Regions from separate parts of the Mus musculus genome. Here all the other regions are reported to be linked to region 1. Evidence: microRNA targets listed by miRTarBase, many of them from high-throughput screens and not tested one by one. Region 1 holds a microRNA gene; each other region holds the end of a gene's coding sequence.

Region 1 (3,000 bases):
ATAAGAAAAGGGGACACCATCTTGTATGACATTTAGAATCATTCAGAACTCAAATCTACCCTTTTCACTAGATGCTACTGTGTAGACATGTCCCCTGGGAACTTCCTTGGAAAACACTGAAACAACACACACTCCTTTTAGCATAAAGTTTTACTAATAGTATGCGATCCTAAGACCAAGAAAGGTTTGGCGTTTGGGTGTTTTGTTCTGTTTTCTTGATAGGGTTCTTGGGCATCCCAAACTGACTTCAAACTCTGTAGCTGAGGCTGAGCCTTAAACCTCTGCCCCTCCTGCTTCTACCTCTTGGGATCTAGAATTTCAGGCATGTGTCCCTATGCCTAGTTAATCTGGTACACGGGATTAAGCTCAGGGCTGTGGGGATGCTGGGAAGGCATTCTGCTAATTGAGCCACATCTTGAAAAAATATATTTCGGTTAAAAAGAAGCAGAAAAAAAGTCAGTCTACTGCCCATTGCCATGAATAAACTTGGTTACATTACCTCCTAAAACTACCAAGGACCACTTCACATCTCATTTCTGGAAGCTTCTGGAATTGCCCATATCAGCCTTGAGACATGAGCACCAATCAAAGGAATATGTCTCATCTTTCCGAACCCTTTAGTCTCATAACTTTGCTGATTTTCAGATAGCTTTTTTTTTTTTAAAAAAAAACACATGGCTAGTAGCACTGTCTCTGGGGCTTGCACTATGTATAATCCTTAGCAGGAGAACAGATGATACATGCAGACTTACGCAGCATCACCACCGGACGGGCGTTCGGAGGGATCACGTGGCACGGCTTGTGTTTGAGAAGCAGTCTTCGCCTCTCCGCACTGAAGGGGATTGGCGGAGCTTCCTTTGTCCTCAGCTGACTTCTCAATGAAATGCTTCCAACTTTGCACCCTTTGGGTTCAGTTGTTCAACAGGTTACAATTAGTTAGATTAGTAACTGGTTGAACAACTGTATCCAAAGAGTACAGATTACGAGGGAGATTGGCCAGCGGTGTTCAGCCCGGCTCAGTCTGTCCTCTTCAGTGTGTGCAAGAATGATGTCAAACAAGACGCATACATTCAAGAGAAAGGTGTTAAATATCCATTGAACATCTAGTATTAGCAGAGTACCATGACAGACAGGAGAGACAGAGAGGGAGAGAAAGAGACAGAAATAGAAAAAGAGGCTGCCCTACATAATAGAAATTTAATACATGGCCTCTGGCTGAGAGAAACTTTAACAAGGAAAAATATTTCAAGGAATGTGAAGGAGGTAACCTTCACATTTTACAGTTTCCATTAGAGTGAATATGCAGTCACTGCCAACACCATAAGACACAGGTCCGGGCTTTTACCTTTATTTAGTCAGGCACACAGCATCGTGCAGAGGACATATACACAGGAGCAGACCAGGAAGCGCCGAAGCCCTGCTTCATTAAGCTGAAAGCAGAAGGCTCTCGTCTCTCCAAGGGATTCGCCTCTGCTCAATATTTATTTAGATTCTTGGGGAATCCCAATCTTTCTTAGTGCCTGTCTGTAATAATTTCTCTACTCCTTGATTTTTTTTTTTAAATTTCTGCCAAAGACAGGCTTCTGTACCATGTCGCGTAGCTGATTTTACCGTGTAAATTTGGAGGCTCTGTTTAAGTCCACTAGCGTTGAGCAATAAGCTGAACACTCTCCAGCAGTGGAATGGGTGGATGTAAGCAGCAAAGAGCGCAGCCATTTTCAGGGAATTAACTTAGTCAATGGATTTCTGTGACACAAGTGTTGAATTCAATAAAACTAACTGGTGGGTACTTTTCTGTTTTTCAAGAACCTGATTCCCTACCCCGAGCCCCAGCTTTACCATATAAAAATATTAGTACATTTAACTCTGTATGTTCTTGAATGGCATGCAGTACCTCTGCAGCCTGGACTTCAGGTCAACCATGATATAGGCATAAAAAAGTCCTACCTCAACTTTCATGGGAGGTGGGGGAAAAAATGAAACTTGGCCACTTGAACATATTATGTTGGACATATGCATGTCTGTTTTGACGAGAATTAGTAGAGTTTTCTAAGGTGCCACAGGGCTGACTACTTCACTCATTTACCTATAGATATTAGTGAAAGCTGTTTAAACCCAGGCTTCCCTTATTTACAAATGGCAGCATTCACACCACAGCTATCGAGAGTCAACATATAAAGAGCTGGGAAAGTTTTCCCACTTGCCAGTGTAAACTGGCTGCACTTTGAGCACAGCTGTTTCTGCATGAGATTTTTCTCTTGGTGGGATTTTGTATTGACTGTGCTCCTGTGGCATGAATACAGTCAATGAAAGATTGTTTGGGGGCTTGATAAGAAAAGAGGCCAGAAACAATTGCTCCCACGGGCCCTACCCTTCCTTAATAACCAACTGCTGTCTGGAGTCCTGCAAAAACCCATCATCCATCATATCAGTTGCATACAAAGGGTCTAGGACTTTCTTGCCCTGCTCTTTAGCCTGAGAAAGACACAGACCCATCTGGAAGGCATTTTTTAAGATAAAACTGACAGTAAGGAGCTAGGTCTCAGCTGTAAACATTAGACATATTGCCCACACTTCTCGATTTCCACTCACCATTGAGAGTTGGTTTTCCTGAACTGAGTTCTCTAAAAAGAGAACACAAGATATTTTGTCTCCTGGGCTAGCTATATATATGTTTGCACAGTTTGCCTTCTGTCTTATAACACTGCTAATAAAATTAGATGCTTTTTTTTCCATTTTTTATTAGGTATTTAGCTCATTTACATTTCCAATGCTATACCAAAAGTCCCCCATACCCACCTACCCCCACTCCCCTACCCACCCACTCCCCCTTTTTGGCCCTGGCGTTCCCCTGTACTGGGGCATATAAAGTTTGCGTGTCCAATGGGCCTCTCTTTTCAGTGATGGCCGACTAGGCCATCTTTTGATACATATGCAGCTAGAGTCAAGAGCTCCGGGGTACTGGTTAGTTCATAATGTTGTTCCACCTATAGGGTTGCA
Region 2 (3,184 bases), not on the chromosome of region 1:
TGTACGCTGTGTACTGTTTTTGCCTAACCTGTGGATCATACCTTGTGCCAGAACAAGCCAGGTTCAGCTACCTGTCCTGGTTAAGCCAAGTAAAAGAGCCTAATTAATAGTGAAAGCAAGAGCTGGAGAGATGGCTCAGCAGTTAAGAGCATTCACTGCTCTTAAGTTTAAAAAGCATAATGACGAGGGGCTGGTGAGATGGCTCAGTGGTTAAGAGCACTGACTGCTCTTCCAAAGGTCCTGAGTTCAGTTCCCTGCAACCATATGGTGGCTCACAACCATCTATAATGAGATCTGATTCCCTCTTCTGGTATGTCTGAAGACAGCTACAGTGTACTCATATAAATAAAATAAATCTTTAAGAAAAATAAAATGCATAGTGAGAAGCAGAAGAGAGATTTATTCCATGTGCCCATATTGGGAAGAGAGAGAGAAATATATACACCCAATCATCCTAGGGTTTTGAGGAACAGGATTGAATTGTATTGTTTCAACAGGCTGATAATTAAAGGGAAAGACACAAGGGGGAGCCAGTTACACTGTATCTGTTAGAGCTCAAGTCCTGTGTCTGTTTGGTCTGTAGGGATCACCTGCTTCCACAGTGGATTCCATTGCTAGCAGAATGTCCTGCCATCACCCGAATGTATGAAGAGAATGCACTGCTTCGAGACCACATGACTGTCAACTCCCTTATCCGAATTCTTCAGACCATTCAGGATTTCACCATAGTCTTGGAAGGATCACTAATCAAAGGAGTGGATGTGTAAAGCAGCCGGCAGAAACTCTTCATCTACCCCTGGCTCCTGAAGCTTCCGTAACTATGGGGACCTATCTGGACCGGTCTGACCATAGTGAGCACTGCCGGGGCAGTGCACTGGAAGCCCCAGTTTGAACAGTCTCCACTCTGCAGACAAGGCAAAGTGCTGTATTGTAGTTCATTTGAACCTGAAATTTAGTATAAAATAGAGTATTTTCATGTGTTAGAAGTGTGTAAATATGCTATCTTTAAGAAATTATATTACTCTAATAAGATACTTTTCTTAGATTGAATATCCCTGTGACTTAAAATAAGTAGTTTAAAAATGTTGGGGGTGGGGAAAGCGGTGCTAGTCAGGAAGAAGCCAGTAAATGTGTACATAGTGCAACCCAGGAAGGCTTCTTTTTCCCTCCAGGTCTCACAAAGGAACCAGAATGCTTTGTCCTGAAGCAGCCATCCCTCCTGGAGTCCCATCCTGTGTGTGGTGAATGTATACAGCTTTACATAGTGTACAGCAGTCCTCATTGTACCTTTTAAGTTATAAACCATTTAATACATTTGAATTATGAGTAATTTTTTTAGTTTTTGGGAACGTTTTTCATTGGCATAAGGAAAAGATAATTAAAGTATTTTAAATATCAGACCCCAGCAAGGCATAGTGGCGCACTCCCAGCACTAGGGAGGCAGGGGCAGGTGCATCTGAGTTGCAGACCAGACAGAGCTACATAGCAAGACCCTATCTCAACAGAGAGAGAGAGAGAGAGAGAGAGAGAGAGAGAGAGAGAGAGAGAGAGCGCAAATACCAGATCCCAAGAGCTTGGCTAATTGGAAAGCAAACACAAGAAGCCCTGAGAAGCATGGGACTTTAACTTCTTTACTTTTGAAAGATTAGCCTGGAGGCTTCGTTCTTGGAATTTTTATTACTGTTCTTTGATAGGGCTTTTGAGATAATGAATTTTAGTATCAATCATATAGCCATAACTGTAAGAAACAGTGTGACTTTTAACTTGGCCATCTAAACTCTTTAAGTGGAGCTAAACTACCAGCCCAGTCTTTGTTAGGTTCCAGCCACTCCCTCTGTCCGCCCCATCCCCCCTCTCAGGAAATAAAAGGAATGTGGGAGAAGGAGGAGGTCTCAGTGTGATTTGGAATGCTTTTGTGAAGGTATTTGTTGACCATGATAATGCAAATAACAGAAGCTGAGAGAAAGAATGAAGCCTTTCTGGGTGTTTCAGGGAAATGTAAAGCAATTGTCCCAGAGAAGTTAAAAGCCACTGTGGCAGACTGAGGAGTGAATTTGACTCAAGAGACAATTTAGGAACTCCTGAAACCTTTCTAGTTTGATAGCTTATTTATTTTTTTGTTAAGCAAATGTTAGCAACTACATAAATCTTTATCTTTTGGTGAGTAAGTTTCGGAACTCTAATTAGGCACCGATACCTTGTTAGTAGCAAAATTGCCTCGGCAGAGCTCCAGGTTTTATTCCCTGTTGTAGCTGAAAACCCAAGCCATGGCCTCTCAGGATCCGTGTGCAATCTCAGGGCCCTGGGCTCTTGCCAGCAGTGCTGTTTTCCTGTTTACTGGAGGAAGGGACTAATAGATCAAGTACCTCATGCCCTTTATCAGAAACTCTGAAGAAAAGGGTTGCTGAGGATACATTTACACACCCATGGAAAGAAAGGGCTTAGAACATGTCTCTAGATGACCTGTGTAACCCAGTGGTTTGTTTACTTAGAATAAGGGTGTTTATAGTAGAATGAGAGTATTCTAGAGACCAATCTACTTACTATAGGAAACATCCACAAATTAAGATACAGTCCATCCCAGGGTTTTATTGCTGTCTTTTCCCATGGGGCCATCCTGATGCTGAGCGCTTGGTGGACTTTTAAGTCAGTGTTCCACAGTTGAGTCCCAACAGCAAGTACAGCCTCTTCATTTTATAGGTGAAAATAGGACACTTCAAATCAAAGACTTTGTATTCTTGCCCTCTCCCCCTTGACAACACAAGGGTTAGAATTTATGCTTTTTACCACACCCGAGAGCATGAAACCAACCTCGGAGACATTCTTACTCAGGATCATTTCTTCTGTTGAATCTTCAGTCAACTGTACAGATAGGAAGCTATGTTTCTGTGATGCAGAATAATAAGGACTGAAGCTTGCCTTGCCGCGTTAGATTGTTTTGTTGTTGTTTGTGAAACAGGATCTCACTGTATATCCCTGGCTGGCCCTGGAACTTCATTTGTAGACCAGGCTCACCTGGAGAGATCTACCTCCTAAGTGAGGGATTCATGTGAGAGCCCTGCCTACCAAACTGTTCTTAATCTCTTAGGCATTACATCTGTGGTTAAAAAATGGGAGCAGAGTTGCATTCCAGCTTAAGTTTAAAACTGTTACTTAAAGTAGTACCAAAAAAACAAAAAATTAC
Region 3 (3,186 bases), not on the chromosome of region 1:
ACCAAGCTGACACCCTTCATTCTGGGGGCCTTGATTGGTGAGTGAGGAGAAGAAGGATGAGCTGGCTGGCTTGGGGTCACTTGGATGGGGAAGGGAAGGAAGGAAGGAGAGAGACCCTAACGGGCACCGTCTGTTGTTTCCTCTGCAGCCATGTATGAGCACAAGATCTTTGTTCAGGGCATCATGTGGGACATCAACAGCTTCGACCAGTGGGGGTGAGTTGCCGAGGAATCTCTGTTGTGCTTTTGGGTTGTCTCTGGAATGTGGCTGGCTCATCCTCCTCTTCCACCCTCCCCCGACAGAGTGGAGCTGGGGAAGCAGCTGGCCAAGAAAATTGAGCCGGAGCTGGAGGGCAGCTCTGCTGTGACCTCCCATGATTCCTCCACTAACGGACTGATCAGCTTCATCAAGCAACAGCGGGACACCAAACTAGAATAACTCCAGCCGCGGCCCTACTGACTGGTCCTCCGTGTCCCTTCTCACCATATGCACTGCATGGTCCTGCCCCTCCCTGCCCAGAGCGCACCACCGGTAGTTGGCCTGGACTACAAGGCTGTTGGGAGAAGCTGGTCTGGAACTGCCATCCACCCACTACGCACCCTCCCTGTTGAAGCTGATGGAAGGGCTTTGACGTGTCATGTTGTTCTGACCTGTATTTCACACCCCAGCTAGAATAAAGACACCTAGAGGAGGCATGGGGGCTCAGCCTCTTCAGTTTACTGAGTCAGTACTTTTATCTGTTACTTGTGGGTGACCCTGCTTATGCCTTGTTTGGTTGGCTCTTTACTTGGTGGTGGGCTGGTCCACAGTCTCGGAGGATTGATCGTTATGAGGGGACAGCTGGGTGATAGGGGCACTTGGGAGGCACAGGCAGGTCTATCTGAATTCAAGGCCAGCCTGGTCCACAAAATGAGTTCCCGGATAGCCAGGGCTACACAGAGAAACCCTGTCTACAAAAAAGGGGTTGGGTAGGGTGGGGTCAGGGATCTGCAGTTAGGTGGGCAACTTGCTCTCCAGTCACGTGTTCACCTCCTTCCCCTCCTCACCTTGGTGACGTGGAAAAAGTAATTCTGCTTCACTAGGTAGGTTTTTGCTTGCTTGTTTGTTTGTTTACCTTCGCTTTATTTTTGGTATCAAAACCTAGGAATGGGGCTGGAGAGATGGCTCAACAGTTAAGAGTACTGACTGCTCTTCCAGAGGTCCTGAGTTCAATTCCCAGCAACCACATGGTGGCTCACAACCACCTGTAATGAGATCCGATGCCCTCTTCTGGTGTGTCTGAGGACAGCTACAATGTACTCACATACATAAAATAAATAAGTCTTAAAAACAAACAAAAGAACCCAGGGATGAACTCGATTATACCCTTCAAAAGACAGTTTTAGCAGGGTGTCATTACTGTCACATTCATATCCTGGCTATCAGTGAGTCCTTGTGAGACTGAGTGACAGCCCTGTCATTCTACTTTCCACCATGTTAATTAGGCCCATTTGATGGCCAGTCAATAAAAAGACTTGGTACATGTCTTAGGGTTTTATTGCTGTGAAGAGACACCATGACCATAGCAGCTCTTGTAAAAGACAACATTTCATTGGGGCTGGCTTACAGTCCAGAGGTTTAGTCTATTATTGTCATGGCAGACCATGGTGGCACATGTGGGTAGACCTGGTGCTTGAAAAGAAGCCAAGAGTTCAACATCTTGATTCGAAGGCTGCGGAAGGTAGGCCTAGCTTGAGCAAGTTAGACCTCAAAGCTTGCCCCCACAGTGGCACACCCTTCAGCATAGCTTCACTTCCTAGTAATGCCACTCCCTTTGGGCCAAACACTCAAACAGGAGTCTACCCTGTAGACTGTACACAAACTTGGTCACTGAAGTGGGTGGTTCTGATGCTAAAGTCCTGTTCCCCAATTGGTTCTTGATTTGTCAGTAAAGAAAGCTAGAGGCCAATTGCTGGACAGAAGGTATAGGTGGACTTCCCAGGTCCCAGGAGGAAAAAAAGGCAGATAGATGCAGGGAAGGAGAAAGTGTCTTTCTGCTGTGTTTTAGAGGAAGAAGGACACAACAACCATGTGAGCTCTCAGGGGAGCCGCCAAGGATGTTTAATAGGGGCTCGGTGGGACTAGTTACTAAATTTAGGGCAGGTGGAGAGATGGTGATAATTGGTTAAGTGGATGCTTTTCCAGGCAGGAGATATCTGTGCCCAGCAATTGTGCCCAGAAGGTAAGTTGTAAAGTAACAAGCTGTGTGTCTTTATCTGAAGATTCAAGGGAAGCTCAGGGGAGGACATGTCCTGGAGCTAAAGGGGGTTAAAGCAAAAGGGAAGCAATAGTGTGTGTGTGTGTGGGGGGGGGTGTTTGGTAGCCCTTCTGGGTCCCCGGATTAAAAGGCACTTAAAACTACACTCAAACACTGAAACTTATAGAGGAGAAAGTGGGGAAAAGCCTTGAAGATATGGGCACAGGGGAAAAATTCCTGAACAGAACAGCAATGGCTTGTGCTGTAAGATCGAGAATTGACAAATGGGACCTAATGAAACTCCAAAGTTTCTGCAAGGCAAAAGACACTGTCTATAAGACAAAAAGACCACCAACAGACTGGGAAAGGATCTTTACCTATCCTAAATCAGATAGGGGACTAATATCCAACATATATAAAGAACTCAAGAAGGTGGACCTCAGAAAATCAAATAACCCCCTTAAAAAATGGGGCTCAGAACTGAACAAAGAATTCTCACCTGAGGAATACCGAATGGCAGAGAAGCACCTGAAAAAATGTTCAACATCCTTAATCATCAGGGAAATGCAAATCAAAACAACCCTGAGATTCCACCTCACACCAGTGAGAATGGCTAAGATCAAAAATTCAGGTGACAGCAGATGCTGGCGAGGATGTGGAGAAAGAGGAACACTCCTCCATTGTTGGTGGGATTGCAGGCTTGTACAACCACTCTGGAAATCAGTCTGGCGGTTCCTCAGAAAATTGGACATAGTACTACCGGAGGATCCAGCAATACCTCTCCTGGGCATATATCCAGAAGAAGCCCCAACTGGTAAGAAGGACACATGCTCCACTATGTTCATAGCAGCCTTATTTATAATAGCCAGAAACTGGAAAGAACCCAGATGCCCCTCAACAGAGGAATGGATACAGAAAATGTGGTACATCTACACAATGGAGTACTACTC
Region 4 (3,186 bases), not on the chromosome of region 1:
GAACTCCATACCCATGTGGACACAGCTGATGAGGGTGGGGTCTGAACAGAGCAAGCGGCTTCAGAAGTGTCTCCATGCCACATCTCAACCCAGAGGTCTTGGTCCGAACACTGGGCAGGGAAGAGCCAGGCTGTCCCAGTGGCTCAGGATCCCGTAGGAAGTGCTTCTCCTTGGGCAGAGGTGGGGGCTCCGTTGTATTGTAGCTGAAGGTTATTTGGGGTTCCTACCAGAATGGGAGACCTGACCTGCCTCCTCTAAGATTTTTGTCTCACTGGGTGGCCACTGTTCCCCTTCAGAGATCTGACTTTGTCCCCTTCTATATCCCAGGCTCCCTTTCCCAGGGAGGAGGTTTCATATGCCGCTCTGACTTTGGCCGGCTTGGGTCAGGAGCCTACTTATGGCAATACTGGCTGCCCCATCACCCACGTTCCCAGGACAGGCCTTGAAGAGGAGACCACAGAGTACAGCAGCATCAGGAGGCCCTTGCCTGCAGCCATGCCTTAATCTTGGTCTCTGAAGGCGGCTTGGAGCATGGATCTTTACATCTGCCTCTGTACCTGCTTCCTTACCCGGCCCAGCTGGTGACTGGAACTCTGTCCATCCGTCTCTCATGGCCATCAGCTCTACCTTGCTTGAGCTTGGAGTTCAACCTCAGGGAGTTCCAGGGAATTAAGGCTCCTTCCACATCCCCACTTATAGCCAATGTACCTTGGAAGGTACCAGGCAGGCTGCTTCAGGGATGCTGTGTAAATCGTATCAACGATGACAATAATAGCAATCAACCTTTATTTATTGTTTTTCATATGGGTTTCCCCCGCCCCTCCCCCCAGGACATTTTCATCCTCATACCCATAATCTGTAAATTATTTTATACAAAGAAAGATAAGTACATATGTGTTTAAGTTAGAGTTTTGAGATGAGTCTGTATTATCCAAGTAGGCCCAAAATATAACCACAAGGGTCTGTTTTAAGGAGGAAGAGAGAGAGAGAGAGAGTGAGAGAGAGAGAGAGAGAGAGAGAGAGAGAGAGAGAGAGAGAGAGAGAGAGAAAGAGAGAGAACAACAGAAGCAGAAGGTGGAGGGATGCAGAAGGAGTCAGGATGTTGCACATCCAGCAGCCAGCAAGGCCAAGTATCAGACTGTTCTGTTCCGTGAGCGGAGCACTGGGTGGCGATTAGGTCTGCCAGTGTCAAGGGTTGGGTGGAGTTGAATTGATTGTGTACTTTCAGAATTGTAGAAGAATAAAGTTGTATTGTTTTTATTTATTTCCTTACCTTTGGTTTTTTGAGACAGGGTCTCTACATAGCCCTGGGTGTTCTGGAACTATAGAAACTGTTCTAGACACTCTGTAGACTAGGCTGGCCTCCGGTTCACAGAGATCTACCTGCTTCTGCCCCACAAGTGCTGGGATCAAAGGTGTGCACCACCACTTCTGTCTTAGAGTATTTATAGACATCGGGCTTAGTGCCTTCGTTCTGGGGTCCTAGCGATTTTCTCCTCAGAAGATATCCTTGGTTTCATGATGATGTAGCCTAGGCAGAGCAGCCATTTCTTCTGTGCCTGGTTTCTCTTCTTCCTCCGCCCAACTTAATGCTCCTCCCAGCAACCAGCATAGTCCTTTCAAAGCTCAGAGTTGATGGCGCCTGCCTTATAACCTCCGTGGCTTCTTCCACTGCCTTTGAGGACGCAAGGAACCCATGACCCCGGCTTGCCGTGTGAACCCTAACTCCACCTACTCTCCCTTAGTACTCTTTATCCATTCCACACCAGCCTCTTCTCTTTCCTGACTAGATGTTCCAGTTTGGGTCTGACACGTCTCCCAAGGGCCAGGCACTTAAAGGCTTGATCCCCAGTCTGTGGCTATTTTGGGAGTCAGTGGAACCTCTAGAGGGCGGGGCTTAATGGTGGGGAGTGACGTCACAGGGAGTATACCTTTGAAGGCGAAATGGGAACTCTGGCCTCTCCTCTTTTCCTGGCCACTGGGAAATGAATTGCTTTTCTCTGCCACATGCACCCCACCACGATGTTCGTGCTGGCCACAAGCTCAAGGCAACGGAGTCAGGAAGCCGTGGATTAAAACCACGAGCTTATAAATTACCATCGCAATAATTTGTCAGTGCAGTGGACAGCTGACTAAGAAAGTAAAACCGTGTCCTTCTCAGGGCGGGGCACTCACTACCCCTGTATTTTTATGGTAGGTACACGAGTCATGGAGGTCAGAGGACACATGCAGGCATTAGTTTTTCTTTCCACCTCGTGGGGTTTGGACACAGAACTCCGACTGTCAGGCTTGCATAACAACGACTTCACCAGCTAAACCATCTTGCTGACCCCACGCGTGACTCTTCTATTCCTTGAGATTTTTATTTATTTTTATTTTATGTGTATGAGTGCATGCCTGATGTATGTGTCTTTGACACTGCACCACACATGTAACTGTGACAGCATCGGATCCCCGGGGACGTGAATTACAGATGGTTGTGAGCCACCATGTGGGTGCTGGGAATCAAGTCCTGGTCCTCTGGAAGAACAGCCAGTGCTTTTAACCCCTGGGCCATCTCTCTAGCTCCAAACCTGACTATTGAGTTGGCCATTTGGGCTGGTTAGTCTGGAGTGAGACTGTTTTTTTGTTTGTTTGCTTGTTTTTGTTTTTTGTTTTGTTTTTTTGTGTAAGGCACAATTTTTATTTATCATTATTATAATTCTTATCATTTTTGTTTTTCAAGATGGAATTTCTCTTTGTAGTATTGCCTGTCCTGAAACTCGCTCTATAAATCAGGCCAGCCTGGAACTTAGTTCTGCCTGCCACTGTCTCTCCAAATGCTGGGTCGCCCAGCCAAGACATGCAGTTTTGGGGGGTTGTGTTTGTTTTTATTTTAATTTAATTAACTGTATGTCCTGATCATAGCCCCCCCCTTCTCTCCACCCAGTCCCACCCTTACAAATCCTGTCCCCTTCTCTTCTCAGAGAAGGGTAAAACCTTGGGTAAAACCTGACTCTGAGGCATCTAGTCTCAGCAAGTCTAGGCACATTCTTTCCCACTGAGGAAACACGCAGTCCTCCTACCCCAGTCCATGCTGGATCCACTGGAAAGGAATAGAGACCTAGAGCCCCTGTTCCACTTGTTAGGGGACTCACATGGACACCAAGCTGCACATTTGCTACAAACGTGTAGAGGGTCTAGGTC

The links. Region 1 holds the annotated microRNA mmu-miR-582-3p (UAACCUGUUGAACAACUGAAC, at 909-929, opposite strand). A microRNA usually pairs through its seed, bases 2 to 8, with sites in the 3' UTR of a target mRNA and lowers its output. Matches are read on the target gene's strand: a 7mer-m8 pairs with bases 2 to 8, a 7mer-A1 pairs with bases 2 to 7 and ends in A, and an 8mer does both.
Region 2: miRTarBase lists Dennd5b as a target of mmu-miR-582-3p. The part of its 3' UTR that is shown has no 7-base or 8-base seed match.
Region 3: the mRNA of Gpi1 is a reported target of mmu-miR-582-3p. The part of its 3' UTR that is shown has no 7-base or 8-base seed match.
Region 4: miRTarBase lists Cd300lf as a target of mmu-miR-582-3p. The part of its 3' UTR that is shown has no 7-base or 8-base seed match.

The regions. Positions count from the first base shown.
Region 1 is chr13:109,322,719-109,325,718 of GRCm38, reverse strand. It overlaps Mir582 (microRNA 582), which reads right to left and starts at 975; the gene lies at 895-975. The region is part of intron 3 of Pde4d (phosphodiesterase 4D, cAMP specific); the gene reads right to left.
Region 2 is chr6:148,991,289-148,994,472 of GRCm38, reverse strand. Dennd5b (DENN/MADD domain containing 5B) reads left to right here. Exons shown (of 21, transcript NM_177192.3): 21 at 584-3,184. The coding sequence ends at 767. Among named protein-coding and RNA genes, the nearest start is that of Gm25539, 26 kb to the right of the region's middle.
Region 3 is chr7:34,199,666-34,202,851 of GRCm38, reverse strand. It overlaps Gpi1 (glucose-6-phosphate isomerase 1), which reads left to right. Exons shown (of 18, transcript NM_008155.4): 16 at 1-37; 17 at 149-215; 18 at 303-1,525. The coding sequence ends at 438. Among named protein-coding and RNA genes, the nearest start is that of Pdcd2l, 4.6 kb to the right of the region's middle.
Region 4 is chr11:115,114,292-115,117,477 of GRCm38, reverse strand. It overlaps Cd300lf (CD300 molecule like family member F), which reads left to right. Exons shown (of 7, transcript NM_001169153.1): 7 at 328-1,264. The coding sequence ends at 504. It also overlaps a transcript of Rab37 not described here. Among named protein-coding and RNA genes, the nearest start is that of Cd300lf, 18 kb to the left of the region's middle.